Linked DNA regions of Struthio camelus. The protein of the gene in region 1 interacts with the protein of each later gene in a pairwise test. Links are inferred from orthologs where the notes say so. Each region holds a gene or a part of one and is shown on either strand. Other genes may lie near its edges.

The links.
Region 2: the proteins of SPDL1 (region 1) and DNAAF4 interact in binary tests that used the Homo sapiens proteins (3 or more experiments, as listed by UniProt). The two-hybrid records come from large-scale screens. The link is inferred for Struthio camelus from reciprocal best matches to the Homo sapiens genes SPDL1 and DNAAF4.
Region 3: the proteins of SPDL1 (region 1) and CA8 interact in binary tests that used the Homo sapiens proteins (3 or more experiments, as listed by UniProt). The two-hybrid records come from large-scale screens. The link is inferred for Struthio camelus from reciprocal best matches to the Homo sapiens genes SPDL1 and CA8.

Annotation. Positions count from the first base shown.
Region 1 is NC_090954.1:18,864,163-18,875,257, forward strand, and holds the start of SPDL1 (protein Spindly), read left to right. Parts: upstream 1-6,659; 5' UTR 6,660-6,787; exon of another isoform or gene 6,788-7,384; intron 7,385-8,492; exon of another isoform or gene 8,493-8,568; 5' UTR 8,569-8,715; intron 8,716-9,907; 5' UTR 9,908-9,951; intron 9,952-11,095. UniProt on the Homo sapiens protein: Required for the localization of dynein and dynactin to the mitotic kintochore.
Region 2 is NC_090953.1:16,153,603-16,164,383, reverse strand, and holds the start of DNAAF4 (dynein axonemal assembly factor 4), read left to right. Parts: upstream 1-6,083; 5' UTR 6,084-6,117; coding exon 6,118-6,240; intron 6,241-6,774; coding exon 6,775-6,922; intron 6,923-7,684; coding exon 7,685-7,818; intron 7,819-8,372; coding exon 8,373-8,613; intron 8,614-9,358; coding exon 9,359-9,504; intron 9,505-10,080; coding exon 10,081-10,190; intron 10,191-10,781.
Region 3 is NC_090943.1:135,084,869-135,095,827, forward strand, and holds the start of CA8 (carbonic anhydrase-related protein), read left to right. Parts: upstream 1-6,727; 5' UTR 6,728-6,860; coding exon 6,861-6,939; intron 6,940-7,201; coding exon 7,202-7,393; intron 7,394-10,959. UniProt on the Homo sapiens protein: Does not have a carbonic anhydrase catalytic activity.

The DNA.
Region 1 (11,095 bases):
GGCAATTATGTAATTCAAAATTTTGCAATTGTGAATTTAATCATGGATATTGGGAAGACTTGGGAGCCATATCAAATTTGACCTGATTCTTCAAAATAGGATGAAAGTCAGGAGAAAGGAAAGGGCATTGTCTAGGAGATGCTGTTCTGGCTGTAACATAAATTTCCACTACAGAGCTTGGCTCTGAATTTATCCACTGAACTTTGTATGTTTTTACACTTGGACCACTAACTATTACACAAATTCAAGTATTTCATTGTGAGGCTCTTGGCCTATCCAAGTGAATAAAAGAAAATGTAACAAATATAAATAAAAGTAATGGTACGTGTTAACTTTTCTGGTGAAGTGCCTGAAAATTTGCTTTTGAAAAAGACTGTCACATCTACTTGATAGATTTGCCAAGTAATCATTTCAAGTCCTGTAGGACAGCGTGGGATAAATGTTGCATGGCACTGCGTAGACGTAGTATATTGCTAAAGCAAGAATAAAAGTGGGTCCTGTTTCTACTGCTCTTCTTAGGCATTTTGAATTTAATATTATTAAAAGATGGTACAACTGGTTGCTTAAGAGCAGAATTGTTAGGTGCTAGCAGAAGGCACAAAACTTACATCCATGAGGTTAGAGCAGTTTTTATAGAATACAGTTCTTCACTTCTAGGATACTGTTAGAATCGGTGAGCAACTTGTGTTAAATTGATAATAGTTTCTTCTTTTGACCATATCTACAGTGGTACTACAACTGGAAAGATCTCTGTAATGCCAAATACATGTTATCTAGATGATACAGAATAGCTTTGAATAAGCAAATAAATGACCATGAAACAGCATGTAAACCATATAACTGGTAGATGGAAACAGCAGATCAGTCCACTGCTAAACCCAGGTGCCTACTTTTATATGGCAGAACATTATTTCTGGCCTTCTGCTTTGCTTCAGCTACTCAGGTCCTTCAATGAAATAGTCAAATGACCCAGCTGAACTATTACCTCCTTCCTTCCCAATGCTTTTCAAGCCCCAAGTGGGAACCAGTTAGAAGGTGGCTAGCAAACCATGTCCTTCTTGATTGATGTGTACAAAAAGCTAACAGAATTTAAGCAGAACAGACTGCACCTAGTAGGAAAGTAGTACAACAAAACTAGAAATAGAAAATGTAAGTGCGCAGAATGAGGCATATATTTGCAAATTTTATTTTAAACAGAATTAGAAGGAAAGGGGAAACTACTAAAGGAACAAAAGAATAACAGACCCAGTACTCCAGAAAGACTCAAACCATTGGTAACTACTACCAGAATGCACAAAAAGAAACTGAATACCTTTTTTTCCCCCATTTTGTTAAAACTGGTTCAGCATCTTACACAGGAAGCAGATTGGAAATCTGATCTCCCTTTGCCTTTTATTACTTAATCTCCCAGATAATCCTACTACAGGTTCTAATCCTACTGTTCTTCAAGTGTATTTTTTTCAAAAGTACTTTTTGCAACTCATGTTTATATCCTTAAAAAAAAGTAGGTATTTCTAAAAACTTAGCGTTCACTTCAACACTCTTCATGATTTTGTTTTCCCTTTTTTTCACCATTATGGAGCTTGTTCATATTCTTTATTTTGATCTGTAGGATTATATCCACTTGAACATTTAAACCTGTTATCATATATCACAGTTATACTTGGACTGGGTCTCTAGGCCCCATTTGTATTGACAGGGTTAACTCAGCACATGTGACTAACCCCTATGTTCCTTCTTCTGTCACAGTGGCCACTTCAGTTTTCTGTGAAAAGTGTATAACGTGAGTAAATATAGCCCAATTTGGGAATTTTGAAAGCAGCAAGAAGTGAATGATAACCACGATTAAGATTAAAAGATGGGAACGATGATGTTCTAAATTTAAGAGTCTAATATTACTCCATACTGAACCATCGTGTTTTCCTATCTCATGGGTTGCTCTCAAACTGTACCAAGTCCCATTTAAAGATCTGTAGGCGACCACACTTGAGGAAGCAGACTCTTCTGGGGAAATGCCATTCTTGGTAAATGGATCAGAGGCCTATTTCATGTGCTGCTGTATTGTCAGGCCTGTAAAACTCTGTATATGCCCTGTGACAGTGTTCCAGCAATTGAGTAACCCAGCACAGCTGTAACCCAGCACGGTGTTAATCCTGCATCACTGCTGTGCATACACTTTCTGCAGACAAGTCATGTTAAACATGAAGACACTAGTCTTACTCCTCAATTGAAGGAAATGGACTTGTTGAACTGGAAAGCTGGTAGTAAGTACATACCAAGGGAGAGATTTATTCCTTGAATATTATTGCTCTGCAGCAATACTGTAATTACCTACTGTTAATACTGCATTGTCACTGTATGTAAACACATGGAATAAATAATCTCCATGGAAATATTAATAAAATGGCTCTAGAACAAAATGTTGCACAGAAGTGCTGGCAAACTATTTAGCATTCACAGTTCATTAAAAGACCTGTTGTATCGCACGGCGATTACAGCCTAAGTGGAATTTGGGTGCTTATCCTACTAGAGTAAAATAACTGCTGATTGCATTACTAAAACTCCATGCCAAATTTTCTGGTCCATTTCAGTTAGTGAATAGTAGAAGACAAGAACCTACTTTTTAAGCTTTAACCTCGGAAATTCAAATCGCAATTTCTTTAAGTCATAAAACTTTTGACTTCTCTATATATTTGTTACTGTTCAATAATCAGAGATTTTAGCTACGAATGCTGGCTTTTGTAGATTATTAAGCAGCTGCAGGAGCAACAGAAAATGCTGTGTTAAAATCAGATACCAGAACTAAGCATTTAATACTGCATACACAAGAAATTTTTGAAGTTGGAGCGTGCAGATGAGCATGCCACTGCTTAATTTGTGCTTCTATATTAGTGACATAGCATTATGTAGAGCTAATAAGCAGTGGAAACTGCATACATTTCTATAAACTGTATGACAAATAGTACTATCATGTGCTCTTATTAAAGGTATCATTTCCTTGCTATAGTCAGTTTCTATGACACAGCTTAATTTAATTTCCTTCGCTTCTTATTTTGCTACTGTGGTTAAGGAGCTGGCAAAGGTTATGGATCCCAGGTTTATGATTTAGGGAGTAAGGTAAGGATGGACTATGAAGGATGCTTGGCAAACATGCTGCTTGTCAGCAGTTAAAGTGGAGGGAGTAAGTCATATGACAAACAGCAAAACTATGCTGGCTTTCAAATCCCTAGCTGGCAAAAGAAATTCATACTGGTTTACAAAGGGGATAAGTAGCATTAGATTAATAAGAAAAACTCAAAACACCTCTTTGTTAAGCAAGGATGACTGAAATAGTGGGATCATGTGATTTGGATGAGGTCAGTCGCTAACAGTTTAGTGAGGATTAAAAACAGTGTGCTACTTGCTCTCCATCTGTTGCTGTAATCATTGAGCTACTTGAGTTCTTTACAAGGCAGGGATTAGTGCTCTTGGGATTCACAGTAATAAACTAAAACATATAGACTTATGAATTCTATTTATTTGAAGGAGAAAGTGCCTCATCTCAAAAAATAGAACAGTTTAATGATATGCCAATTTAAAAATGTTGACGGGATTAAGTCTGGGCTTCTACGAGGTTGCGGTAACAAATAGAGAAACATGGCTTCAAACTGTGCAAAACTAAGTGCTCTTAAATACTGCAGGGCAAACCTAATGCCATAGCAAGTTTTCATTATATCAAACCCTGGATTTGTTGTGCCAAAATGACTTAAGCAGCTAGTAATCAGCTGCTTCGCAATAGGCTGCTGCTAGTCATTTGCTCGCTTCCTACAGCACTATAGTCAGCAAAATACTTGTCAGTACACTGTCAAAATTCACTGAGCAATTACCAGGTAAAGTCTAAGACAGACTTTTTAAAATATAATTTGCCTTTATGTACATAAAGGCAAACAAGCCTCCTCTTCAGAATAAACCCATCTACTTTCTGTAATCACTCCATTACTTTTGAAACGTTTTTGAAACGAAAGAAACGTTTGTCTGCTAGCATAGATAAGGCTTAAAAGATATGCACTTACATTTTATACAAGGTCAGAAGTGAGAAGTGCATAGATTTAATTACATTTAGCTACCTAAAATGTCAATAAATAAAAGCATACAAACTACATGCTTAGGAAACATTTATGAATTAGAGTAAGAAACGGGCTTCTAGAACCTCCATAGGAAAACATAAGCACTACTGAGGTCATATGCTGGAGAAAAGTTTCTATGAGCCAATATGTAGTTACACAGGCAAGCCACAGTGATGAAACAAAATCTAACCTGACATGAAACAGCAGAACTGAGAGTTTTTTCCTAGCTGAGAATGGGACAAAAGCATTTGACTCCATAAAGCCAAAATATACTACCACTGACAGACTTAATGACCATGTCATTGTATGTTCTTCTAAAAGGACCTAAAGTAAAATCTAGCTTCCTATAAACTGAAAAAAAGAACTCTGCTGTATAGGCAAACTGTAAATATTGGTTTTATTTAAGTATTAAATGTTTAGTTTGTCACATCAGTGAATTATTTTGTAGAATTCTGACAAGATGGTCACTCCACTTGGCAAATCTAAATTACAAATAACTTAGTAGCAACTGATGCATGTGTTTATCTATTCACAATTTAGTAGAAGTGAACTGTAAAACACTATCCTAGCTACTGCCAATTCAGTAAGGAAAAGGGAACAAGCTCTGACAATAACAGCAGCCTCTAAATAATGAATCAGTTGATTTGTAACTAAGCACCTAAGTCTGTTCTAAAGGCATAAATGACAATTCTAAGGAAAGGAATGTATAATGAAGTTTTCTTATGTATTTCTGGTCTTAAACATCAGCTGCTATCCATGACGGTGGATTATTTTTTTCCTAAAATAAATGAAGAGGGAAAAAGGCAGCTGCTGTTTTAACAGTTCTGTGATTTAGTATGCCACAGTGGATAACTGATCTGGTACAGTAATCATGTTAATACTTAGCTTTTACAAGGTGCTTTATATTTTCCAAGCTGTACCCACACTAACTGTAAGGAGAATTATATGGATTTGTTAATTAAGTCACTGTTATCCTTGTTTTAAAGCAAGGGAGGGGTGAGCTGGGGGTATTTGGAGTGGCTAGTCACATAGTGAATGCAGCTGAATCAGGATTAGAAACGGATTCTCTTGTTTCCTGCCCCTGTTTCAATCAACTTGTCATTCTTGCCTGTCTAGACCATTCTATATTTATTTTTTAAACCTATTTCTATTGAGAAAAGCTAGACCCACACATTTTGATAAAATAGTAGAATTATATATACTAATATGTGGTTCCAGCTATTTTGCTGGCATTCTCTGTAGAACTTGATACCATGTCCTTATTTTCCAAGCACCTTTTATCTTAAGACTTATCTATTTTTGTCCTGGTTGCTCCAAATAGGATTGTTACCTCTGCATTCCCTTATATCCTGTTGCTTGAATTCAACCTTGCAACACTGGAGGCATGTTTCTTTAAAGTCAGAGTTTGCTTTAAAATATTTCTACCTGTCTGACTTTTTGGGAGACACAGAAAGTTAACTATTTAAATGTTACTTTCATCCAATTTCTAGTAGCAGGGTGTACGTGACAGTACTGGCAACTCCTTTAACTCAAATTTGAATGCCATCAGCAATCACATGTAGAAGTGCAAGATCGTAGTCACTGGAAGATGTTCAGCAATAACCTGAACATGAATGCCCCAGGAAAAGCATACAAAGCAAGTAGGGCAGACCATCTACAATCAGGTGTAGAAAATGAAGATGAGTGGAAACTAGAGCAACCTAGGGAGAAAGAACAGGTTAGAAGTGTAGTTGACAGCTATGCTACAAATGCTACAATTTGGTGCATAACTCTCAGAAATTTGAAGGGCTAGCTATGGGCACGGCTGTGTTTCCTCTAAAGAAAGGCTTGGTTGAACGTGATGGTTGCGCTGCTTCCCCAAGGCTAGGCATCCTCGGCAGTCCCCACTGAAGGACGGTATTTCCTTAATGAGGAAAACGGTCTGCGGGACAGAGGTGGCACTTAGGGCATTCTAGTGTCAGACCAGTAATTCCTCTGTAAAACACTTCATGGGAGACGCAGTTTACCCTTGAACTTGGCAGGTCTCCTAGATGGCACCAAGCACTTGGTTGACTTCTAATCTGACCACTTACTCTGCACTCCTTCCTTGAGCGAGGTGGGACCACCTGCAGCTCCAGAGCTTGGGGCTCCATCACACCTCCAGGCTGCCACACACCTGCTGCGTACAGCCGGGGAACCGCAGCAGCGCTTCTGACTTTGGGGACTTCCCCTCCTTTTCAGAGCGCGCCCCACGGCGCCCGCACAAACACCCTGCTGCCCTGGCGTCGCCCTAGCACCTAGGCCAGAAGGTTTCCTCCACGGGTGGCCACGCTGGGCCTGTAAGCAAGCTCAACGGAGCGGCTGTGTGCTGTAACGAGCCGGGCGGGGGCACGGCACGACCGCCGCCAGAGAAGGCGCTTCCGCGCCGCACCGCCTCAGCCGCGCCGCACCGCCTCAGCCGCGCCGCACCGCCTCAGCCCGCGGCCGCTACCCCTCCCCCCGCCCCGCAGCACGCGCGGTTCCGGGCGGCGCGCAGGCGGCGCCGCGCACGCGCGCTCGGCGGCGTCCCGGGGTGGTGGGGGGGAGGGGCAGGAGGATGGCGGCCGGTCTCGCGAGGCTTGGGCGGCGCCGCCGGGGCGGTTTTGAACGGCGGCGGCGGGGCCGGCGCGGGGTGTTGGCGGCCGCGCGGCCGTTGGGCTGAGGTAGCGCTGCGCGGCGGCGGCGGTCGTCGGGGCAGGGGAGGCGCGGCGCGAGCCGGTTTTCCTTCACGCGGAGCTTTTTGCTCTTTCCTTACTGCCCCTTGTCCGGGGAAGCGGGCTCCGGCGGCCGCTTTCCTGGCTCGGGAGCGGCAGCGCTGCGTGGGCCGGGCCGGGCCCTCTGCGTGGTGGGGCCGCGGAGCCCCTCTTGCCCTGCGTCCTTCCGTCCGTCCTGTCAGGCCCGTGTCTTGGGGGGCTGGGCCGGGGGCCTCGCGGTTTTCGTCAGGTCCCTCCCCTCGGCGGGCTCGCCCCGCTTGTTTGCTGGCTAGGCGAAGCCCTGGCAGAGCCGGTTGTCGGCTGGCGAGGTACTTGGTAGAGACTGAAAGCTCAGATTGGGGTCCGATTTCTTTTGAATGCTCGCCCACCCAAGACTATGTTCTGGGGAAGCTGAGAAGCCCCCCAAGTTATCTCAGTTGTTGAGTATCTCAGTTCGGCAGGTGAAGAAGTGGACTTGTTTAAGTAACTGAAATGAATTACAAGGGGAGTACCTGCCCTGGGGAGAGAAATTATGTCGCTATTCATGGTAGCGGTCGGAAAAACTGCGTAAGTACTTCTGAAGCGATTGGTGATGCAGTTGTCTTCAGGACAAGGACAGGTGTTACACACGGTCCCTGGGATTAGTAGTGTAACTAGAAGAGTCTGGGAGGGGAGAGGAAGGCTTGCATGCCAGGAGAGTGCCTTTTCATCCTCTCCCCTGTTATTTTTATCAAGGAGTACTTAAACGGTTGAGTAATCAAAGTCTAGAGCCTTCAGTACAGGATCTGTCATAAAATGTTTGGGGATATCTAGCCAGAAGTGAGTAATGTGTAATTCTTAATAGATATAAGGAGACTGGTTTTTGTCATCCCCCCCAGTACCCCAGGGTTGGAAACAGTTCCCTGTGCTGGCAGTTGTGAATTGACTAGAGGGAGCATGGAATGCAAACTTAGAAAAAGTAGTTTTGGTCTTTGCTATGGATACTGAAACATGACTTTTTCCCGGAGACAGAAAAGCTAGAACTCTGTTTAAGCAGCAGAGTATGAAAACTGATTAATTCTGTTTTGAATCTTGGGATTATTAGCTAGTTAATTTATCTTAAAACAGAATTCTTGAATAATTTACTTCTTGCGTGGTAGGAAATTGCAAGCAGTGACTTCCCTGTGTAATCTTATGGGCTGGTGAACACAGCTTATTGGAGCTCTCTGATTACACTTATCCGAAACAGATGATAACAGAGTTGAGGATCTTCTGTGCTCCTACAGTGTCTGAAAAGCCATATTTATTTTTTTTCCAAATACTTGGCAAGACATGTGAAGTAGGTGCCTCCTTGCATAGTATGTATACTTTCTTATAGTAGGAAATCTATTTATCTTTTTCCTCCATACTTTGGCTATAAAATTAAAACCAAAACCTAAAATCTTTTAGATAGTAACCAGTAAATGATTTATTAAGATACAAAGATCTTGTATGCAAAGGTGGAGGGAGAATGCAAAAGAGATTGAAGGAGAAGGAGAGAGAAAGGTGAAATTCCCAAACTACCTTTAAAAATGAAATATGTGCTGGAAGTAGATGACCCTGGGTGTAGCCAGTTTCCCTGCTCTACAAGTAAACCGCAGAGCATCTATCCCTTGCCAGTGTTGCCTAATCTGGCTGTTTCTCAACTGTCTGACAGCTACCTCAAATGAGATTTGAATAAGATTTGCATTTCTATGGGGTTTTAACTAGTGATCTGCATTTTCATGGGACAGCCACGGGCATCAAGCTGTTTCAGAAAAGGACTGTTATGAAGAAATTTGCTGTAACTGCAGTTTATACTCATCCAAGCTAGACAACTGTTGCTTTTTTTAGAAAAATAGAAGAATAAACTCAAGAAAGAATTAAAAGGACTTCCGAAGGTGAGTTAAAAATATCATTCAGAGTTAATTTTGTAAGCTAGGAGCAATCAAATTACTGTATCTGAAATCTTAATGTGTTACTGTTTTATCAGAAAATAAACAGTTTTTAAAATTCTCTTTCTGAAATGAATACGGATTAATTAATCTCCTTTGTCTACACAAATTCACACCACAAGCTCTTGCTTTCTTATGGTTGTAACATTACAAATCTTATCCCTCAAGCATTGCACTATTAAATTCTATACAGTGTTTAGTGTAGGTGTCCTTGTGCTAGTATATATTGTTGACACTACTTAGATGTTATAGGTATGCCAAATTACTGACTTTCAAAAAAAATTTTTTTGGTAAATGTGCGAAGCTAGTGTTTCAAACAGCAGTAGATGAATATGAATAATTGAAGTTTCAGAGCCTGGCCAGATAAAGTCTGCATAAGTTAAACAACAACAACAAAGGCTTGAAAATTTGAAAAATAGAATACGACAATTTCTGTCTTTTCACTGTGAAAGGAAGTAGCATGATTTTTGGCATGATGTCCTCTTGTATGACAAAATGATAAATTTTTGTTTAAACAGGAAGTTGTGAAACTCCAGTAGAAATACCTTTATTGCATTAAAAGTTAGCAAACAAAATGTTAAAGTTAATACTTTAACACATACATTTCAGTATGGTGATGACTCATTAATACTGTGAAATTTGGTGCAGATTAAGACAAGCATCTTTTTAACATTTGCAAGGATAATATATGTGCCGGTAAGAAATGGTAGTGATTAAATTGCGTAGGTAAAAACAAAAAACAGTGAGTAAGATCTTCAGTGAAGAATGAACTTGATTGTGAGGACTAAGTGATTAAAAAAATTATGAACCTTGGCTTTGAAAAATCAACTGCAAAAATTTTTTTGTAATCGTATATTGTTGTTACTGTATAATTTCTGAGAGAAAATTCTTAGCTTATGTTGTGCAGAGCCTGAGTCACTTGGCAATTTCTGTCTTAATAGGATTTATCTTCAGTGTGCAGGTTTACTAGGTGTTAGGTTTGGGAGTTGGCCGTCATGCAAAACCATGTTGTTAATCTTACTCCTTTTAGGTTTATGTGGTTATTATTTGGGTTTTTTTCCCTATTTTGCTTTTTTGGGTTTATTTTGATCTCCTCCTGCAAAAGCAACCTTTATTCATGTCTTATGTTATGATACAGAGATAGAAGTGGATGAGTTTTCTGAAACACATGGCAAAGAGAAGGTATGGCAAACAGATATGTTAGCTGAAGTGATCTAACTTTGAAGTTGAAAACAGTGATGAAAGACACAAGTATTATGCGTGCTTTAAAAAAGTGGGGGGAGGGGCAGAGATAAAGGAGATGGCCCATTTTTTTATTAAAAAAAAAAGTAATTTTAATATTAAATCTATTCTTAATTCATTTCTTCCACCTCCTCTATATGTTTGTATGTCCCACATAATGTTATTAGGAGTAAAGTATTCTGCTAATACAGCTGCCTATATGAATCTTATTAAGTGTTACTTATGTACACAATTAAAGCTCTAGTTAGTCCAGGTTTATTCTATTCTTGTTTTGTGTATTATGGTGGAAGATTAATTGAGAACTGACCAATTTGTAGTCTATCCAACTATGTTTGAGAGTTTGGGATAACTCTATGCTCTGTGCTACTTATGATAACACTAAAAACCATATGCCTTATCACTTGCCTAATGGTGTTTTTAGGAGGTTGTTTCCTAGCTTATTGCCTTCTCTTTCATTATATATGGTAAGATGGCTAGATATTAGATAAACTCTGTGTTTCTAATGAACAAGTTCTGTATGCGGTGAAACTGGGCAAGGTATACCAGAATTGTATTTCTGTCATGTTCCTTGTAGTTTTCTGTTTTGTTTTTGATGCTTTTGAATTGTGTAACACAGCAGCCTCTCGAAAAAAGACTGGGAGTTTGAACAAATAAATCGTTGTGAAGCTAAGGGGCCCCACTTGAATTGTTCTAGCTTAGAGCTACTTTGGTTTTGATACGGACTTATTCTGCAGAGTATTTTGTATGTGCATCACCTTTGTTTTTGCTGTATGTAAGATATCTCATCATCTTATTATTCTAAATAGCTTTAACTAGGAGCTTCTTCAATTACCTCTAAAAGTCATCACTAGTACTGTTCAATGGAAAGTAGTGAAGGTTTTGGTTTCCCATGGGCTTAACTTCTCAGCCTAGGACTACGTTTTGTCCCTTCAATTGCATTTGAAGTTGATTAAAAACAAGCCTTCTGCCTAGTGCCTAGTCCAGTGTGTGTATGTGTATCCTTTTTTTTTTTTTTCCCCCCCTCCCTCCCCTCCTTCTCCACTGGGCTGTCCTTAAAGGAGATCAGGCAGAAAGTTTGAATTGT
Region 2 (10,781 bases), on another chromosome or scaffold:
TGATTAGAATAGGTGAGTTTTTATAATACGCTACATGAAACAACTTGTATTGAACTATCATGTGATTCTTTTGTTATTAGTGATTTAGAGTGCACTGGTGCTGCACACCAAAATATTGCAAAGATTTTGTAAATCTTACAAACCTGAAGATTTTTGTGGGAAATGCCTGTGTCCTTTTTAAAAACCTCTTTGTCATGCTTGGAAGTGTAGCCTATACCGCCCAAACTCCTTCCCACCTCCACCCTATTCTTCCTAGGCTGAAATAAACAGCTATAAACTGGACTGAACAGCCCTTAATACTGGCAAACTTGCTTTTTGCCAGAGACCAGTCTTAAATAAGAAGATATGTAATTTATCCTTTTAAAATACTTATTTTGTTATTAGTGTCAGAATTAAGTGGCAGTGCTGCCTATAGGCTAGAGACTGGGTATCAAAAATCCTGTTTCTGGCTGTTTTACTGATCCCTTGTGCAGCTTGAGGCAAATAAGTTAACTCTTTGTGCCTCAGTCTGTTCTTTCGTAAGATTGGACTAATGCTTACTTCCCAAGGGTGTTTAGAGGCTTAATTATTATTTGAGATCTTCAGATGAAAGATACTGAAGACGCAAAAGGTAATATGATAAAAGTTTGCTCTATTTAAAACAAAAATATAATTTTGTTATTATGTTTTGGGTTGTACAAACAGGAACATACTTTGTCACCTCTGGGTGGTTGTTTTGTTTTGTTTTTGACTAAGCACTAATTTTGTAAACACACTTTCAGGCTTAACTTCAAGCATGGGAGACTTCTTAATGAAGTCAGTAGAAGTGCATGCACAAAGCCAAGAACTTTTCAAAGTGTTTGCAGTTCTGGGCCCATGACTTTTTTAGATATTCTTAGGTAAAATGCTTTTTGTGGTTTGAGATTTTTGCAAGATCAGTGGTGTTCAAATGTAGCACCTCTTCAACATTTTTCTTTCTTCCAACTTAATACAGACAATACACATCTGCATAAAATATATCCTTTTCATTTTATATATAAACATTGCCTGCCCGTAAAAGTTTTGGTGTAACATTTTTTAAAAAGGAAGTCATGCTTCTTATCATGTTGTATGTGACTTAAATGACTGTTTCATATTAAAACTAATCTTTCCTTATGTACTGCTTAAATATACCTGTTTTGGGATATCAGTTCAGTACTTTTTATACAATCTTGAATGTGTTCCACATTGGTGACATGTATTTTTGCAACAGCTTTTTGTTTTAATTTTAAATTAGAGCATGTCTGAAGTAATACATGCATTAGTGCTGTGGTGTGTGGCAAAGTTAACGTATGTAATTCAAATTGGAAAAAAGTTTCCAGACTTTGTCCAACATTAGCCCTGTGGCCAGGGATTAAATTACTATGTAATACAAATTATTTCATATCATGATGTGTTTTAAGCTACTCTATGAAGTATATGAAACATTATTGTTTATGGATTGGTAGCTGGCCTGGTATCTTGCATAGAATGAGGTATGATAGATGGTAGCAATTCATGATAATTAAAACTGAATACCTTTCAGAACACGCAGCATTTATGTGCATTGTCATCTTGTTGCCATAACGCTTTATGAATTCTTTAATGTTATCCTCTGACAAATGGGTGAACATTTGGTAGTATGTGTATGGTTGTGAAAATCCTATTCTAATACTCCATCTTGTTGTTAAAAACATGTAGTTTTTTAGCTATTGGATGTGATTAGATATATGCAGGAGGATGTAGAACTGGATGTATTTTTAAAATTACTCTGCAATTGCTAAGTTTTGTCTGAAGCTTTCTATATTAGAATAGACTTTTCCTTCAAATTGGAAAATTAAGTGTACTTAGCAGAGCTCTTAAGGCAATATAACTATCCTACGCTACGTCGTTATGCACATTCACTTCTTTGTGTATGGAACTCCTATAACTTCCATCCTTTACGTGGAAATAAAGGGTCCCTTAGTGCCCTAGTGCTGCGTGGCATCAGTTTTGAGTTAACTAATCGTGAATGGTGTTCAGCCCCTTTGAGGTGCTGCTTTTAGCTTAAAGAGTATTCAGTGTGGCCCTTAGTTTATTGGTTCAGAAACAGCTTATACCAAGGTCATAGGGAATACCTATTTTGTTATTGTTTAACATACATGATGGTTTTCCTTTTTGTGTTTAAACAAACTGTCTCTCTCAAAAATAATTTCTGATTCAGCCTTATTTTTTTCCCTCAGAGGTTATGCACTGTACTTCAGAAATTGCTGTATTGGAGATAGTTTGGTGACTGGAGTCACAAGAGATGTTGCGTCTATTCCTAGACACTAATCTCATCTGCTGTTACCTAGATGTTTAACAAAGAATGGGCTCAATCTGAACTTTCATATAATTTAGGGAGGGTGAGCTTTTTTTTATATTCATTCTCTAATTTCTTGGCTTTTCACGATTTTTTTTTTTTCTGAAATGTGAAATAATATGTAGTTGTTGAGGAATTTTTACTTTATAGCCAGTCTCTCCACCAAGCTTTTTTATATGGCCTTTAGAACAGACACTGTATTCTTTAGGGCCTTCTTACTTGGTTATCTTTTGTTTGAATTCTCCTTTCAGTGTTAAAGACTAGTTGAAAAAGGCAAGTTACCAATCGACTGCCATCCAAACAGTACAAAATATGAGCTGATTAAGATTGTTGACACTTAAATTTTTTTTATAAATAACAATGTGATATTTGACCCTTTTAGAAGAAGATATATCAGGATCTAAATCAAGCATTCTTGGAAAACGTATATGGCAGATTTTGTCCAGCACTGTATGTAACTTTGTTGCTTTCTGTTTTCTGGTTTCAGTTTCTTTTAAAATAAAGCTAACTCTTGTGGGGAAATTGCCTGTTGATTTCATGAAGATAATGTAATGTATAGATTAACTTTTCTAATGTTTTGCCTGTGAGGATGCATTTGGATTAGGCGTAATCCAGGGCAAGAAACAGTTTGAGGCCATATTGGTCAGAAAAGATAGCTCCTAACTCTCTTGGAGACGTCTGCTGTTCTGTAGTGGCATTAATTTAGAGCTGACTTTAAAGCAGATTAGAAGAGGTCTCGCACCCTGGGCCCCATTTCTTTCTTAGGGGATAAGAAGGGTTCAGGTATTGTTTGGCTGCACAGATTGCAGAAGTGTCTGCATTTGGAAACAGATTACGCAAATAATTATTATTTATTCTAATTTACAAAACTCATACTAAGCTGTCTCTGTTTGAAATGTCACAACTAACACATAGTGAATCGGTACTTTAAAGATAATCTTTAAAAGCAACTCATATGGGCTAAAGCCACACACTCATAACAATGTTCACTGGAATAAAAAGCATCTTAGAATATATTCCTGCTCTTTCTAAAAATATGGATGGATGAGAGAAAGGGGGGAGAATTTAGAAAGGATGGAAAAAGGTCATTTATTAAATTAAAGATAAGAAAATGTAAACTACAAGGATTTTTTTTCTATATATTAAAGCCTCTGAAGCCATTAGAAATGAGCTAACCCCTAAAAGAGATGGATGATATATACTGACAACCAGAAGGTCCAGAGGAGTATTAGTAAAATAAGATTTGACAGGGATATAAATCTCCATCCTTCAGAGCACAGGAGACAGCAATTTAAGAATAAAGTTTTTGAACGGGTATTTGATCTCCTTGTTTCTTGCACTTTTGCCTGCTGAGTTAGTGCCAACGGAAGAAAGATCCTGAATGGACCTCTATTCTGGTATGGTAATTCTCATATGGTTTGTTTTGCCAAAGTGTCATAGCAAGAGCTCAGTCACTTTTCCAAGTAAGCTAGCAATGTGGAATGCATATGAAGTAGGTGATGTTTCTGCAGGTGTGTGTCAATATCTGATTTGCAAAGTTGATCGAAGACCTTGCTCAGTCCCATTCCTCTATGTGGGAAATCGGCTAAATCTGCTACAATAACTTAGAAATTTGTTAGTGACGTTTACTGTAAGTCTTCTACGAGTGAAATAAATAACTTCTGCATCGGAGATCTAGGAGAAGACAGCATTCAAAAGATCTAAGACTTCTTATTGTCTGTGAATGAACTCTCCAAAACTGAAGGATACATTCTGGATGAATACAGCTACATTTGGACTGGTAGGGGATTTTGAGTTACTGTTACATTATAATCATTGTAGCCAATGCCGCTATTTAACACCCTGATTTAAAAACAAGCAAAAAAAAAAACCCTCTTCCATTGCTTCATCCAGGAAGAAGGAAAGTAGGATTTTAACTATTGTGTGCAGTTTTAGCCTCTCCAATCTTAATATTTAGTAGAACTGGAAAGACTCAGAGGTTGGCAAGGAAGATAAAGGTATGTAAAAGAAATCACCAAGTAAGCTAAGACTCTTTCTAGAAAAAAGCCATCTCCTAGAGGGAAGCCTGAGGTCTGTAAAATCCTGAATGGCAAAGAAAGGATGTTTAGAAATTCATTGTTTCATCCTTACTTCAACTTGTGTTGAGTTCGTTGCCTCTCAATACAACAACCAAGAGGTATTAAAATAAAAAGAACACAGGGAAGACTCCTACTCAGTGGTGCAGATCTGCCATTAGTCAGAAGTTCTGTATCATGCAAGTTAAAAAAAATAAATAAATAAATAAGGCACTTTGCCTTTCAGTTAAATCTTTTTTTTCCCCTTATGCCTTTGAATGCTCTCAGAATGAGGAATTTAATTCAGATCTGAAATTCCAGTCCATGCAAGCAATTGATGATACTGATCTTGGTGAATGAGGGTAGAGAATAATCAAGAGATCATATCAAATAGGATGCATTTCTTGCTCTGAAAGTTTCGAACCTCTGTGAGAACTCTATATACTGCAGCAATGAACAGCAGTAGTTAGCTCTTAGTAACCACTACCACTTGAACATTGCTTTGGAATATAGCTATTAAAACCTGAACTCTTCATGTTATAATATAAATCTTAAATGATACATCAGCTAAGACTTCTGATTTGTGCAATGTTAATCTCTCTTGGCCACATTAGAAAAAAAAATAAGGGGAAAACGAGACTTTTTGGTTCTTCTGGATTCTTGTCAAAGGGTTCCAAGTAATGGTATACTTTTGAGGAACTTAAGCATACCTGAATATTTATCCGAAAGTGTTTGGCTTGCCTTTCGACCGACATTTCCCAGAAATGCTTGCTTCTATACCCTAGACTTTATTTTGGCAGATGTATTGTTATTGTTTGTTTGAGGAAGGTTGAGCAACACTGTTCCAATTACCTCCTGCGTTTGTGATAAAGACAGTCAAACAGATAAAACTATGTAAGGCAGTGGCATGGAGTTGCAAGGATAACGTTATTTTTTAGAGATCATCTGGAAGTTTCAATGTATCGCTGAATCGGTACTCAGCTTTTAACAGTTTTTACTATAAATTCTCAAACTTATAGCAGTCTGTCTTCTTATGGAAATGTCCTTGGATAACAAGAGTTGCGTTCCTTCCTACTCCGCTCTAGGTGGGAGTGATGGAAACCAGAGCAGTGCGCCTTGCTTCATGTCTTCGGTAAGTAAATGGACCGGTATCTATAGCAGGATTTTGTCAACTAGTCTTGCTTATATAAACTTACAACTTCCTTCGCATCATCACTGCTATTTTGAGCCCCATGGATGGTTTTTATCGTCTTAAAGCGGCTCCAGGACTTCAGAAGCGAAGAACGCCTCACGGCTGCCGTCTCAGGCGCTCCCTCGGGGCCGGGGGGGCGGCACGGGCCGCGCCGCGGGGTCCGCCGGGCCGCCCCCGCCGCTGCAGCGGGCGTGACCGCGCGGCCCTCCCCTCCCCTGCGCGCGTTTCGCTGCCCCCGCTTCCTCCCACCGCCTCTTCTGGTGCTGCTTCTCGGGCAGCAGCGGCCGGGGAACCGCGGGGCCCCGCGGGCCTCGCTACCCGGCGCCGCGGCCCCGCCCGCCCCGGCGGACCACAACTCCCGGCCTGCACCGCGCCCGCGCTCTCCTGCGGCCCTATTGGGCGAGGCCGGGGCACCCGGCGGCGCTGTCACCGGCGCGGCGCTGCGGAGCCCGGAAGTGCTCGCGGAGAGCAGCGGAAGCGCTCCCTCCTCCCCTAGCAACGCCGGCGGAGCGCCCCTGGCAACCGCCGCCGCCATGCCGGTGTGGCTGCGGGACTACAGCTGGCGGCAGACCGACTCGGCCGTGTACCTCTCGCTGCCGCTGCGGGGCGTGCGGGCCACCCCGGCCAACATCTTCTGCACCGACCAGTACCTGAAGGTGGGGGGCCGCGGCCCTTCCCTCCGCGGGGAGGCCGCGCTGCGTCCGTGGGGCTGTGCCTCGGCGGTAGGGTAGAGCTCTGCGAACGAGCACACGCTCGACATGCCATGTCAGCGCCGCCAGTTTCATGATCTCTGGCATCGTCTCCTCCCTTTGTCTGCTGCGGGCTGCTAAATACCTATCACGCTGGAGATAGTCACTTTATCACCAGTCTTCTCCTCACAAATACTCTACTTAGCAGCTACCAGCTGCTTTTTCTCTCATCACTGGTCTGAGTTATCCACATCTGATTAAACTATGACTGAGAACTCAAAATGTGAAGTCCATTGCTCCTATTTCAGTTCTGAGGAGCAACTTCCATCTCTTACTTGGCGTAATAAAATACGTAACTTCCATACCTCATACTAACCAAATAACGTTTTTGATAGTAGCGTTTGTTTCTTGAGGTTTACTGCATGCTTGTACTGGATGTTTTGAATGTCTACTCGAGATGTAATAACTTTAAATAGTAGTACACATTTGTTATTTTTATAGGTAAGCATCCCACCCTTTTTATTTGAAGCTGTTTTATATGCTCCTATTGATGACACAAATAGCACAGCAAAGATTGGAAATGGAATCATTTTCTTCACTTTGTACAAAAAAGAAATGGCTATGTGGGATTCACTAATGATCGAAAATGGTAAGTTCTCTATTGTGGAAAAGTAAATTATGTATGAAGAACCAAAACGATGTCAAAATTCTTTTTCTGAAAAGTTTGGAAATTCGCTGCTTTTCTAATTGTGCTATTTTGTATAAAGAAGTACCGCCTTTACCTACACAGCTGGCTTTGCATGTGTTGTATTAGTAAATCTGAGAAAGTTCATGAACTCTAGTCTGTCACTGAAAAGCACGATGTTAGTTGGGGATCTTGCGTCATACTCCATTTATTCTGAGTTGCCAGCCATCATTTCCAGAAAATTTTCAGGTGATATTTGTAGTCTTACCAGTTTCACATTCACACATTCACCCTCAAAATCTAACTTTGTGGGGTCATTGTTGTGCTCTTCTGCTGAAGTGCTGAAAAGATTTCTAAATGGCTAGAAAAACCCATGGTGGGGGGGAAGTTCTCTGCTGTAACCTTGAAAGCCATAACAAACTCTGAAATTTCTGCTGCTGAATCTCTGCAAAGTTAAACTCTGTTGTTCATTGTTAAAATTATAAAGTAGAGGAAAACAACTGAATGCAAAACATCTTCTGGTTCTGGTGGGTGTGTTTTGGGTTTAAGTAAATCCTGGTTTTTTTTCTTTCAGAGGTGGGCTTGATAGAGACTGCTTTGTGGAGTTTGAACCATGTTTTGTTGCCCTTTATCAGATGAAGTAACTTAGACTTCTTTATGAACATGGTACATGACAGTAGAACTTCAGGCCTAAATTACTAGTTTGTTTGCTGCTGTTGTTCCCAGCTAACAAGGAGAAACTGCAATATCTAAGAGAGAATGCCATTCTAAAAGCCCATGAAAAGGCAAAAGAGGAGGCAGAAGCAAAAAAAGTTACAAAACAGGAACACAAAAAATACGCTTTGGAGGCCACAATGAAGGTAAGCTTACAAGGACCTCTACTAGACATGTAAATGTAAGCAGTTGCCAACTAATTTGGCAGATGTTTGATATTCATCTGTATTGCAAAAAAAAAAAAAGTTCATCTTTAGTATCAAGTTTGATAAAGTAGGAAACCTAGGCAAGGAAGTAAAAAATGTATTTCCCGCAGAATAAAGGAGCTATGTGAACAGCATACTTTGTGTGTTGAACTGAAATGAAGGAACTTCTAAAGTGACAGGAAAAACTTACTAAAGGTTTTATTGATGGAGTTTATTTTATCATTCTTTAGAATACAAGTAGAACTTTATTTCTGAATGTTTCTAGATCATCTCTCTAGTAGTGGTGGTAAAAGAGTTAAAACATAGCTAACTGAAAATCTTTACTTTCCCATTCATTTTGCAGCATCTTTCATAACTCTGCTTATATCATTGCATTAATGATAGTGTTGGGCTTGGCATATGAAACTGGGAAATAATGGTATATTTTATTCAGTTAATGGTATATTTTATTCAGTTATCAGATGTTACATATCTCAGTTTTATCCTACAAACAGCTAGAAGCAGCAGAAAGAAAAAGAGTTGAAGATCTGAAAGAACAGGAGCGGCAAAAGGTCACTAGGGAATTGGAGTTATGGAAAAATCAGCAAAAAGATATTGAGAGACAAAAGAGGATACAAGGAGAAGAGGAACTGCATCAAGCAGTAGAACAATTACGGGAAAGGAAAAAGGACAAAATAAACAAACCTAGGATTCCTAATGACAGAAGTTCTAAGACCAGAGTCAAACCTACTAAAGGTTGTATTGTTGGAGTCTATTTTGTCATTCTTCAAAGCATGATATAATTTTATTCCTGGATGTTTCTAGTTCATCATTTATCTTTGTCTCTATATACCATACTGAACAAATTCTTTTAGTTTGCGGTTATTTTCGTATCTTTATTTTCTGTCTCTTTATTGAGCTAAAGCATGCGAGTGCTTAGCTCCTTTTTAAGTCATTGGAAACACAAAGGCACATTTTGCTCTAAGCTTTAGGAGAGTAAAGCAGAAAGCCTTTCTAAAGGTCTCTCTGAAGGTGGTGTTCATGTTACTGCTAAGCTATCTACTTGTTGCCATATAGAGAAATCTCCTTTTGCTCTCTTTAGTCCTTATCTTGGTACACAGAGAGTTGGTTCAGGAAGCTAAACTAACAGAAAATTCTTAATTTTTTTTGTTTGTGTTTTTGTTTTGGTAAGGTTAGTTTTAGCCATTGAATTTGGCCCACCAAGGAATCATACAAGTGCCAGAGATGTTGACGTCACAGGCGTTTTAGTTCACTTGCGGCAGATAACATAGCCAGTAAATAGGTTCCATAATACAGTAAGAACAAACCTTTTCAGAGAATTTCCTTCAAAAGAAGTCCAAACTTATTCTCAAGTAATAGCTTGAGGTTTATTTCCAGTGTGCAGAATGCTAAATTAGGTACGCTTTGGGATTTGATAGAAAAATGGAAAAAAAATCTTTCACTTTATTTTTCATTTCTGGTACTCTAATTCTATTTGCAGGTCCTGGTTCCGATAGTATGTTTTCAGATAATTTAAAGGAAGAACAGTTACCAGCGCCTCGATCTGCTGGTACAATTAAAATCAACTTTACATCGCGGGTTTTTCCTACAGCTCTACGTGAATCTCGGGTAGCAGAAGAGGAAGAGGTAATGATCGCTCTCTGTTTTAGTGTGGTGCTTTCACTATCATCCAAGGTGGAAGTTTTGCAATATTTCCATCTTCCAAGGAAGGTAGTCTTAATTAAATTACTATCTAAATAAATGCTTTTACATCTAAACTATTTTTTACCAAGCATTTGATTGTCAGAATAATAAGTAGCATATTCTTATGTTTTTATTTTTTTTAATTGCAATATTAGTTGAATTCCATTAGGTACAAGTTTTGAAGTTTTTTTACTCTTGTCTTTAAGATTCTTTAAGTTCTGCCTTTTTAAAAAATACTTCACAACTAATTCTTCTGAACTCTACTAGATGAACACGAACAGTCACTTTTGGAAGTTCTAAAACAAGCAAGCAAACAAAAATGTATTGGCAGTGCAGTAATGTTGCTTTACACATAGCAATAAAATATTTGGTGAAATCTGGAGCTTTTCATACCTCTGCCCAAAAATATGTGGTAAAGAGAATTATTTTAGTAGGAGTGAATGAATAGATGAAAGGAGAATACTTTTTTGGATTTGAATTTTTGTGCAGAAGTAATACATTCATTTTGTATACTTACAGTGGCTACATAAACAAGCAGAAGCTCGAAGAACAATAAATGCTGATTTATCTGAGCTGGAAGATTTAAAGGAAGAGGAAAAGAATCCAGATTGGTTAAAGGACAAAGGAAAGTGAGTTACACTCCATTTGAAGATGCATTTAAAATCAAATTTATTTGTTACATAGTGTGTGGCTGTTGTTTAGTTATGAGATTTTCTAATTATCCTAGACACAGATGGTGAATGTCTACCTAGGGTAGATGTTATTGATAGTATGGGGGGTTTTAGGTTGATAAAGTCATGAGATCCAGTTGGTGAAACTCATGATGGACAAATTCATTATAAGCACACAATGCACGTTTTAATACTGAGACAGTTAATTAGTTAATTAGTTGAAGATTACACCTAGGCAGATTTCCTTTCACTTATATTTTTTGTTATTGAGAGATTAAACATCTGTTTAAAACAAACTTCAGGAATTTGATACAAATATTGCTATGTGTATATAGCTGTGTTACACAAAAAGGTTAGATTAGATAATCATAATCAGACACACACAGCTTTAAAAACCAGTCCTGTGTCCTACTTTTAGTATTCTTCGTTGCTTTCAAGCAGTATCTTTTTTTTTTTTTTTTGCCAAGTTGGATATCTATGTGTTATATTATCAGCATTAAGTTTAACTGAACTTCAGCTATGTTGAAAAGGTTATAAATGACCATTTTT
Region 3 (10,959 bases), on another chromosome or scaffold:
GGTCTGCTTACATCACATGCAGGTAAAGAATTCTGCAGTTCATTAACAGCTAGGTGATATTACGCAATATCCTAAAACTTAGACTTTTTAAATCTGGATGTAATCCATGTAACTTGCAACCTATGAGTCGGCTGAACCACTCTTTTTATGTCAATTTTTTTCCACAGATCCAGGGAAATGTTACAAGACTTAAAGAATTTAACATTATGCAAATGTTAAAGAAAAAAAAGATAAGTGAGATAATCCAGGCAATTACTGTCTGGTTAGCGTGAGAACAATTCCAGGGAAAATATTAGAAAAATTGCTACGAGATTACAGATAGAGAGGAATATAATTAATACTAGTAACAATGGTTTTATAGAACGTATATCTTGTCAGACAAACTGAAATGCAATTAGATTATAGCTTTTTATAAGGCATATGATTTAGTACTCTATGAGATTTTGATTTAAAATGAACACTTCATATACGACTAGCACTCACTCACATGAATGGCATTTTAGGTCAACTAAATGTAAAATAATAATGCAGGCTGTGTTACATTCTGAAAGCTGCCTCCTGGATACCCTGACTCCAGAAAAAGGATTTAATGTTTGCACTAAATAGCAGCAGAACAAGAGCTCCAATGTCTGACTCCATGGCAAAAAAAAAAAAAAGATGAGTGGTTAACATGCACGTAAAAAAGAAATGAATGAGGACATGGAAGGAAAACAAGAGCTACACTGCAGAATTCCGGTGTCTGTATTTTTCATGTGGAAAAAACAGAAAACATGCAGAAAAAAAGCTAAAAAAATTATACATGTCCTGGTCTTAACCTTCTATGAGTGTTAATGAGCTCCTTTTGTTTAGACTACAAAGAGGTGATTGGACTAAAGTGGACGAGTATATTAGAGAGAGAATATGAAGTAATAAAGATTCTTTAATCAAGGCAAACTGGCATAACATGAACCAATGGCTCGAAGTTGAAGCCAGAGAAATTCAAACCAGAACTGGATCCCCATTAGTTAACAGTGAAGGCGATTAACCACTGGAACAAACTGTCGAAGGAAAGTATTGAACTCTTCGTTTCTTGCTGTCTTCAGATCAAGGTTGCACACATTTTGGGAAAACGGACTTTAGTGAAACACGGGTTATTATTTATTTATAGCCAAATAATTGACTTAATATACAAGTAACTGTGTGAAACATAATAGCTTGTGATATATAGGAGGCCAGATTACACCCTAAACGTATGATTTATGAGCGTTACTGGGACTGGACACGTGAGCACTTTGTCATTTATAGATGTTTACATATTGATAAGCAAAAGTCAGTAGAACAAATGAAGAACTGACTCTCCTTTTGCCATCCCTTTACAGAACCAAATGCGCTGTTATTCCCCTGCCATTTACTGTTCAGCGCTTCCTCTTTTTCATGTGCTTCAAAGATGAAAAGCCAACACCTTTAAGCCAATACCTGCTCTGGCTCCTCAAGGGAAAAGCCACTCAGGCGCACTCTTTAGCTCAGTCCCTCCTTTTGCTTTGAACAGTACCTTGTCTTTCCCTGATCTCTTATTCAGTCCTTCTTTGTTAAAAATAAACAAAAATGTGTTTACCTAACTGTAATCATGGCGAGTCTTTAACATCTTATCTGATATTAAAGACATGAAATGATTACAGTTAGGTAAATAAATTTTCATCATCTCCTTAATGTAGATTTTCCCTCTGCACGCCCCAATTTCTTCCTTGAATTTGGGTCTGGGTGTCCCTTTATTTCTGCTTCCTTCCTAAAGGAATAAAGAAGTATTTATATAGGAGCTTTGCCATATCAGGACCCTTTATTATTTCTCACTCTGTGTTTCACAGAGATCCTGTTTCATCCTTTATCTATCTTTTCCTCTTAGCCTGCTAGGGGAAAGAACTCACTTCCTTTCTACTCATCTATTGTCTGCAGATTTCCACTTTACATTTGTAGTTATTTCACTTCATCAGCAATTCCTATTGTCTTCTCCACTTCTTACAATTCTTTACAGATTTTTTCTACAAATTGAGACCTGCTGGGAAAAGATAAGCTCCAGCAGACAACACTAGATTATTCTCTAATTTTTTTAGTATTCTCCTTAATTACATTGTATTATTTATCACTTCTCACTTGCCTTTTGTCTATGTTTCCTTTTTAGTCTTGAGAAGTAGTTTCCGATTCTGGGTTTTTTTAAAGGACTGAAAATTATCCCGTCTTAGATTTACTGTCTTCTGGATGTATGTGTGAATTCTCACGGGCAGTCATAATGTTTTACAAATCCGAATACTGGGAGAATATATACCAATTACGGCCGTTAATTTGGAAATATTAATGCATTTTTCTTTCATCTCTTGTGCACTCTTACAGACGCAATTTTACACACAAAAGTTTAATACCTTTATTGTAGAAACACTTGTGTACTTTTAGGTCTATGTGTAGATTTTAATTTTGAAGAAACTGTATTTGCTGTAAGGTTAAACATGTGAAGATCCATGTGCAGATCCAGACTTCTGTCCTATTAGCCGGTAAACGCAAGAAGCACAAATCTAAATTTACAGACCATAAAACATATGAGGGCACTGAAACCACGCTTTGGTGCGGATTTATAGGGAAATGGGAATCCAGCTGACATATCTTGCAATGTTTGCAGGACAGGATGTGCCAACGTAAACCTGATTTGCAAACAGATGGAGTCTTTCACTGTAAATGTTTTCTCCTTATTATAAATGGTCTCTTTATTGAAAATGTTTTCTCTTTACCCTGTCATCTTGCAGTATTTATACCACTTGACCATCCTTTTCCTTTTTGTACATTGCTTCAGCTGAAGAAAAAAATGATTGGCAAATGATATTATTCCAGAAACACACTGCTCTTTGGAGCCTTTCCTTGTAATGAACTAGCTCCTTTTAAAACATGCAGAGAGATTTTCAGTTTTATTATATATAAGCCTATACTTTAATAGATAAATACAGAAAATTTCGTCTTACACTTCTAAATTTGTAAAAGAATCAAACTTGACTGAAAGAGCAATCCAGCACGAAAAAAATACAGAAACAAGATCATGGGACAGATGATTGCTGGCCAACCTCATAGCGAAATACAGGAAGCAAAATAGGAAAGCCCATTCACTGAAAAAGATGCTCCTGATCCCTTTCGTGCCTTCTGTTTCTGTGTGGACACAACTTTTTCCTTCAAGTATACCTTGGTAAGATTACAGAAGCATAAACGCCCTCTGAATTCCTAAATGGTTCTCAAATGGAATACTCTAATATTCTCTGGAACATTTCTCTTCTTACTGTAAAACTAAATCTTGCATGTCCCCAAGTACTCTTCACTGGGAGCAAGGTAATAAAGAAAAAAAGTGAATTACATAGGACATAGGTCTTCTCACAATTTAAATTTTCAGTTCCTTGAATCAGAGAAATAACTGCCAGCTATGCAGCCTGCAGAGAATCCTACAACTCTCTAGATTAGACAAACCTACACGGAATTCTGTTCTGATTTTCTATACAGATTTCTTAGTAATCCGTACAGTTCTCTGCATCAGACTCTCCCCTCGGAAGTGGTGAAAGCTGTAAGTACAGTTGTTGAAATTTAACATCTTATTTTTTTTAAAAAAAGAAAACTAGTCATTCATGACAATTTACGGATACAAATCTTACAAAGTGTTTGGATGGAGAAGTTTGTTTCAGACTTGTTTCTCCCAGTGTCTACAATTTAAGGTGCTCAGGGAAGGTATATTGTCTTTTTGTGCTGTTCCTAAAATAACATGGCGGTAACGGTAGGAAAAAAACAATCAGTAGCCGTATAACACATAATACCTACATCTAGATAAAGTAAATACAAGAATAGTTCTTTGCAGTCTTATCAGGGCTAAGTATTATACCGAAAATGTTTAAAAATGCAGTTTCTCGCTTTGCAAAAGTGAGTTTTGGATTACAGGAAACGAGGAGACTCAGGCCCCTCTGAACCGATCTGTCCTTTGAGCTCTAAGAGGAACTGTTAAACCCTGGATCTGCGCATCAAGCTTTTTTTCCCGGTATCAACGAATGGTCAGATCGTTAATCTCAGTTAAGCAAGAAGCCAGCATGTTCCACAGAATCAAAGGCTGGACTTGGATTCAGGACAGACTTGCCTGCTGCTCCCGACTCTGCTGGTGATGTGCCGTGTGATTTATGAAGGCCGCCTTGGCTGTGCTTCTCCTACCATTTGTCCATCAATTTGATATTAGCTCTAGGGCCGCATCTGCGCCCTCCTATGGATTTACCTCTCTTGATATGCTGAGCCAATGTAGCAAACATTACTCTGGGCAAGAACACCACAAGCAAAGGATTTTCACAGAATAAAGAGCGTATTCATCTCTATTGCGTTCTTGTTATATATTTAATATGCTTTTAGAGTAAATCAACCACTTGTAGCTTCTGCACAAAAGCAAATTTTAAGTTTTAGATGTCTGCCAATAATAGAGTTTCTAAGATCGCTGTAAGGTCAGCTTAAGAAAAGAAACTAAGTACTTAAAGAGGGAAGAACTCCAAAGGAGGAAGTGGATGACTTGAGACAACTGTTAACAGAACTCAACACTAGAATAATGCTCTTTTCCAGATGACTGCGTTTTACACCAAAGGCACCGCACAGGGCACTTTCAGCTTATGTCAGTACAGAAACGGACTAACAAAGAGTGCAACGCTTTAAGAGTGTCTACATCCTTAAATGAGACCAAATCCCACGGATTTTGAGCAAGGCTTAGATCATACCAGTATCTCCACCTGATTCTGAGATTCAACACTATAAAGGTGGGAGCATGAATAAAGGAGTTGGTTTGAGCAGAGACTGTTTAGGTCAACATCTGCGTTTGTGGGTGGAGCTAACTGAGAGATCTCTGTCCCTTGCTCAGTTTCATGGCAGAGAGATGCCCTTCACTTCTCAGCTCCATACACACTTTAGCATCAAATACATTTTAAGAATCTTCAGCAGAATTTAATTTGCTGATTAGCTCAAGCTATGCCTGAGAGCAACTATGGAAAAGATAGGATATTTTCACAGAAAACAAATGAGCAGACATAAGGGAACAAAGAAATGCCAACTATTCATTAAAGCTTTACCTGCTGTGCCTGATTTTGCAGAAAGGTGCAGAAAGAATGGAAAGGTTAAAAGGAAGGGCAACAAACATAAGTAGAATATAAGTAGCTTATTTCTTAATTACAGTTGTGAATGGAAGCCATGAAAAGTAGTGTTAAGTATGTATTATAAAACAGGAAATCACGGGTCTGATTATGTTGCCGTTTGTAAGTGTGAAAATGTGGCACAGACATCCCACAGGAAAGCTACCGCAGGAAAGGACTTAGCAGAGGGCATGAATGAAGTACTGTGCTTCAGGGAGCAATGGAATGAACCCAGCTTCTTAAGACTGTTTTTTTTCCAAAACATGGGATTATGCTTGGGAGGGGAAAATGAATTTACCGCCAGATCGACCAGAATCAAACGTGATTTAGGGGGAACGTTTCTTTTTTCCCATGTGGCTGAGCAATGATTCAAAGGGACTGAGACTAATAGAAATAACTAGAGTGCATTTAAGAAATGGTTTTGGGATAAAACTGACTAACTGACAAAATCAGTTTGGTATGGGAGACAGTTACGTATGTACAACATGATATTCTTATGTGCCAAAAATACATGTCAGAAAATCTGAGTGTTCCAGTTGTACTGATGTAAAGGATTAACTATGAGGAAGAAGGTCAGTTTGGAGTGTGATCCTTGCTCACCAGCTAAGTTGCTCCTTTGCTGCAATGAACTGTACCACAGTTATCGTTCGTTTGGGTAGCATATACTCCTTTTGACCATCAGTGCTGAAGACAGTAACTAATGATCCTGCAGAAAGAAACCTGTGTTTCTGTTCTAATCTTAAAAAGGAAAAGAAATCCCCCAATAATTTCTACTACTTTTGTCCTATTTTCTTCCCACCTTGCGCATGGCTCATGAATCAGTGCTCTCTTGCTTCCATAATGAATGTCCAGCTTAATCCTTCCTCTCTGTCCATCTCAGTTGGACACGGATGTTCGTTCGCACCCTCTTTCCGGCCCTGCGCAGGGACCACGGCTGCCGCGCTGGGGAACACGGCAGCGCGACAAGGCCCATAGCCAGCTCAAAGCTTGCGGAGGAACAGCCCAGGATCAGGACATTATTTTATCCCCTCAGCACGCTGGAAGGCAGCGTGGTTTCGCCCGTACCTCGAAGCGGCCAAGGGCGACGAGGAAAGGGCGCTCCCACTCACCACGGTCGCAGCTCCGGCTGCCTTTCCGGGTTGCTCTTGGGGACCACAGGGCCCCCATTCCCCTCGGGTCACTGCCCGGGGGAAGAGTCCTATCGCGGAGGCCGCTTACTGCCCTTCCTCCCCGTGAACGGAGCAAACCTCCTCCAGCTCCCTGCCCTGCTGCCGGCCGAGGGGCCGGCAGAGCCCCCCGACCTCCTCGAAACGGAGGGGCCGGAGCAACACACCCGGCAGCCGCCTGAGCCAAGGGGTCCCGACCGGCGGGCATCGGGGGGCTCCCACCCTCCTGGGGGGGGGGGGGGAACAGCAAGGGGCCGAGCTGCCTCCCGGCTGCCAGGGCTGCAAAGAGGGGCAGCGGGGGGGGGGGGGGGCGGCGCAGCGGCGGCCGCCGCCCGCGGCTGTTGCGCGCCCCCGATGCCGCCGCCCCGCCCGCGCCCCCCGCGCCGCCGCCGCGGGGGCGGAGGCGGAGGCAGAGGCGGAGGCAGCGCCGGGCCGGGCTGCCCGGCGGCGCCCGGCAGCCTCGCCCCCTCGCACAGGCACTCGGTCGCACACGCCGGCCCGACGGCGGCGGCCGCCCCGCGCCCGCCCGCCCATGGCTGACGGCAGCCTCGTCGAGGGCGCCGAGCCCTGCCGGCGCCGGGAGGACGCCCCGGAGTGGGGCTACGAGGAAGGTGAGGGGGTGGCGGGCAGCGGGACCGCACACGCGAGGCGGGGGGGGGAAACCGCTTGCGCGGCCGCGCCGAAACCGCCGAGAGGAGCGGCCGGAGGCCGGCCGGCAGCGGGCGGCGGACCGCGGCCGCCGGCAGAGCAGCGCGGAGCCGGCCCGGCCCTGCCCTGCCCTGCGGCGGCCCGGGGCGCGGGGCCCGGCCGGCTGCGCGGCTGCGCTGCGCGGGGGCGCCGGTCTGCGCCTCACGGCTCTTGGTTTGGCTCTAGGGGTCGAGTGGGGGTTGATATTCCCGGAGGCCAACGGGGAGTACCAGTCGCCTATTAACCTGAACTCGAGGGAAGCCAGGTACGACCCCTCGCTGCTGGAGGTGCGGCTGTCGCCCAACTACGTGGTGTGTCGCGACTGCGAGGTGATCAACGACGGGCACTCCATCCAGATCGTCCTGAAGTCGAAGTCAGGTAGGGCGAAACACCGCTTAGGCGTTGCCAGTAAAGTCAGAACGAAGGCCGAAGCTCGTATCGTCGTCTTAAAGGCCCGCTGTAGGCGCGTAACCGAGCGCAGCACCGCTAGCTGCTGCCAGCAGCCGGCTGTTGGGCCCGTCCGGCGTTGCTGTGGCCTGCAGGAGGGCTGCTGCTGCTGTCGGCCGTCGGAAGAGGGCTAAGCTTTGCCACAGGGGCTGGAGGTCTCACCTCCGCGCTGACGGCCCGTCAGGTTGCTTTGGAGGAGCTGCAGCGTTTTCTTTTGTGGTGGTGTCATCTAGTTCGCTGGCATTAACAGTTGTCCACATTCGGAAACGGTCCAGCTTGTCACTCGGATCGCGGGACGCCGCATTACTTTGTAGAGCTGGCAAGTTTTGTCCTTGCTCCAAAGAGCATGGAAGTTCTCCATGCAGTTGAGTGGGCTGTGATTGCTAACTGTAGACTTCAACAGTTTGTTTAGGACAGATACTCCAGTTATGGACACTTACAGTGTTGATAAAGAACAGGTTGCAAATTGGTCCTCGCTTCTTAAAGAGTTTTTCAATAGCATTCATCAAAGACGAACTGAAAGCCAATAAAAGAAACAGTTCCAACTCAAATGAAATTGCAGGATCTCTTGACTCAGACCTTTAATCTAGATAACCTATTTTATATGAAGGAGATAACTGTCAGGAAAGTAAGGAGATCCTTTGTGTTTTCCAAACACTGTGGTACTTCTTCCCCTGTGTTTGGAAGGGTTTTTAAGTCATTCTAACCTATGTTAGCTAGTAACAGCCTTTATGGGGCAATTAAACAGCTAAGCATTGCCAAAGCCATTCCAACTTTTGTTTCCTTCTGAGATCCCAGGAGTCTTGGGAGCAAGGAAGTCGGTTCAGTTTTACACAGAATTTTTTGAAACAGAAAGGTTTCAGTTACTTTAATAATTGTTTTCCCTTATACTTCCCTTTCATGCTAGACTCTGTATTGTATTGCAAAACAGAACATTCTTTCCACAGAATTTTGCAGATTTCCAATGGAATAGTAATTTCGTACTTCCAGTCGGTTTTACTACCTTTCTCGGAAGCAGAGCTCTGTTCCCAGGGAACAAGGTTTTCTCTGCAAGATCTGAAAGGTTCTTGAATTCTCTTGCAGAGGAAGTAAGACTGACTGCAAACATAATTGCTTGCATGCCAAAGTGCTAATCATTCCACCCTACCTTTTCCAAGGGAGGTTTGCACCTTAATAGCAATAGTATAAAAATAGGAATAAACCAACACACCTATATGCGTGTGCAAAAGCTTTGGAGGTTTAGAGGAAGGAAAGTACTTCTTTTTAAACTTGAATACAGTGATGCCAGACTGGTGAGTGTTGACATATAAGAAACAATGTGAAATAGAATACAAGTTTATGATTGAGGTATGGCACTAGGATTTAGGAAATCTCAGTGTAGTTTCAGCTGTCCTTGGATTTCGTATTACATAATTTCCTATTCTCCATTTGTTGACTGGGGATAATTTTTCCTTTTTTGGGAGGTTGGGACAACATTTGTTATCCCTTCCTAGAAGAGAAAAGCTATGTTTGACCTAGTATCCTGGCTAATTTTCAGTGACTGCGGAAACTCATGCAGCTTCTCTTCCTCACAGGGGATCTCTGATGACAGGTCCGTTTAAGCCAGGTTATTTTAATGGGAACTGCCGAGCACTAAGTGCTTTTGAAACTCTATCCAATTAATGTGTAAGAGATTGCCTTCTACTGTAATTTTAACAGCCAAAGAAAAACCTCCTGGTAGAAAAAAATAAAATGATTAAGATACATACTAAAAATCAGTTTGTCGTTAGTGATGATTGATTTTCAGAATACACAGTCCATCTGGAATTCCCAAATCCTGCTTGTTATTTAATTGTAAACCTTTTTACAGGCTGCTTCCCGTTTGAGCATCATACATATGTTAGGCATTAGCTGGAAGAAGTGTGACCAAGTGTGTACTGGAACTGTATATTGAAAAACCTTTCAGAGGATACAGAGACTTCTCTTAAGCCAGCGGTGGATTGCACAAAATGGTTTCAGAATCATTTTCTAATAAGGTTCGAAAATTACTGAAAGGCAAAGAAACGTTAAACACTTCATCCACTGACAAAGATCAAAATTTGATGAACAGCAGAACAAAGATAAACGTTCTTCCTACATTGAAATACTTTTATCCTGGGATCTGTGTTGTAATATGAGCCTCAGAAAGAAACTCTTGGAAGCTCGTGCAGGTCCCGAACTACATCACACAGAGAACATTTGTTCTAGTTACATACAGGCAGGCATATGCACTAGGAACAATAATTTAAATTGGAGAAAACAGTCTGTTTTCCTAAAAAAACAGCATTAATAAAACATCCTATTTCCCTACATTCTTCCACGTTTCCCAAAAATACTTTAGCTGAATGGTTTCCCTCATGTTCATCAGATTTACGAGTTTTCATTATAGGATATAGGTATAGGTAGAGCGAGCAAAGATAAAAAAGGTTTAACGTGCAAATTTGAATCTGTAACTACCTTTAGGATGATTCATTTTAGAAACCCTGTTGGTTGTTGGTTATGGCATGTCGTTAAGGGAGGATTAGTCTGGGTATTTCACTTCTTTTCTGCAGAGTAATTGATGGTGAAAAGACCAATTGACAGTTTTCTTCCAGTTTTTTTATAGCTCTCTATTCTCATTTTTGTGTTTGTACAGTTGCAATATGATTCAATTGCTGAATTGTACTTAGTAGTATTACTCTATGACTTGTGCTCCCAACTAACTATATATATACATATACATATATAGAGTATGTGTATTAAATGACATTAAATGACATTTTATATTATGGAACTGTCATTGCTTAAAGCTATACATTGTGCAATTAAATAATTCTTATCCGTTATTAGGTATTGTAAGAGGTCCATTCAAAGTCTATGATATGGAAACTAGAATTTAATGGATTCCAAGGAAGACGAGAATGCCCTTAAAAATCTAGCTTTGGGTAGAAACCCAGTACTCAGTGATTTCAGCAAGAAGTTACCTACAGCTTGCCAACTGTATTTGGTATTATTTGGTCTGAAGCAGATTAACAAATTCCTGGACAGAATGCTTCTGTTAATTAATTCATAAGTATATTGGGACTCATATAGGTACGATTGCTTGTTTTCACTGCTTATTTTTATGGTGAAAGGCTATATTAATGCAAAGGAGTTGAGTTACTATATAGGTTGGTTTCTTTGTCTTGCAATTGTGGACAGATGCTGCTAAGACATTTTCAGTGTTTAAAAACAGCATGGCAGCCTAGAGCTGATTGTAAGTAAGGTATGTTGTTGCTACTGCATGGCAGGATCAGTTGTATCTGCATATGAAGGCATTCTGTATCTCAGAAACCTGACAGGTGGTATATGGCTGAACATCTTTACCTAGCAAAATATTGGCAACCAAAAGTTTCTATCAGTTTCCATGACTCACGGCAAATACAGGTGATAGAGATTAAGCATTTGGACAAGTTGGTGGTAGTTATCAGTTTGACTCAGAACCTCTTCACCATCTGTTT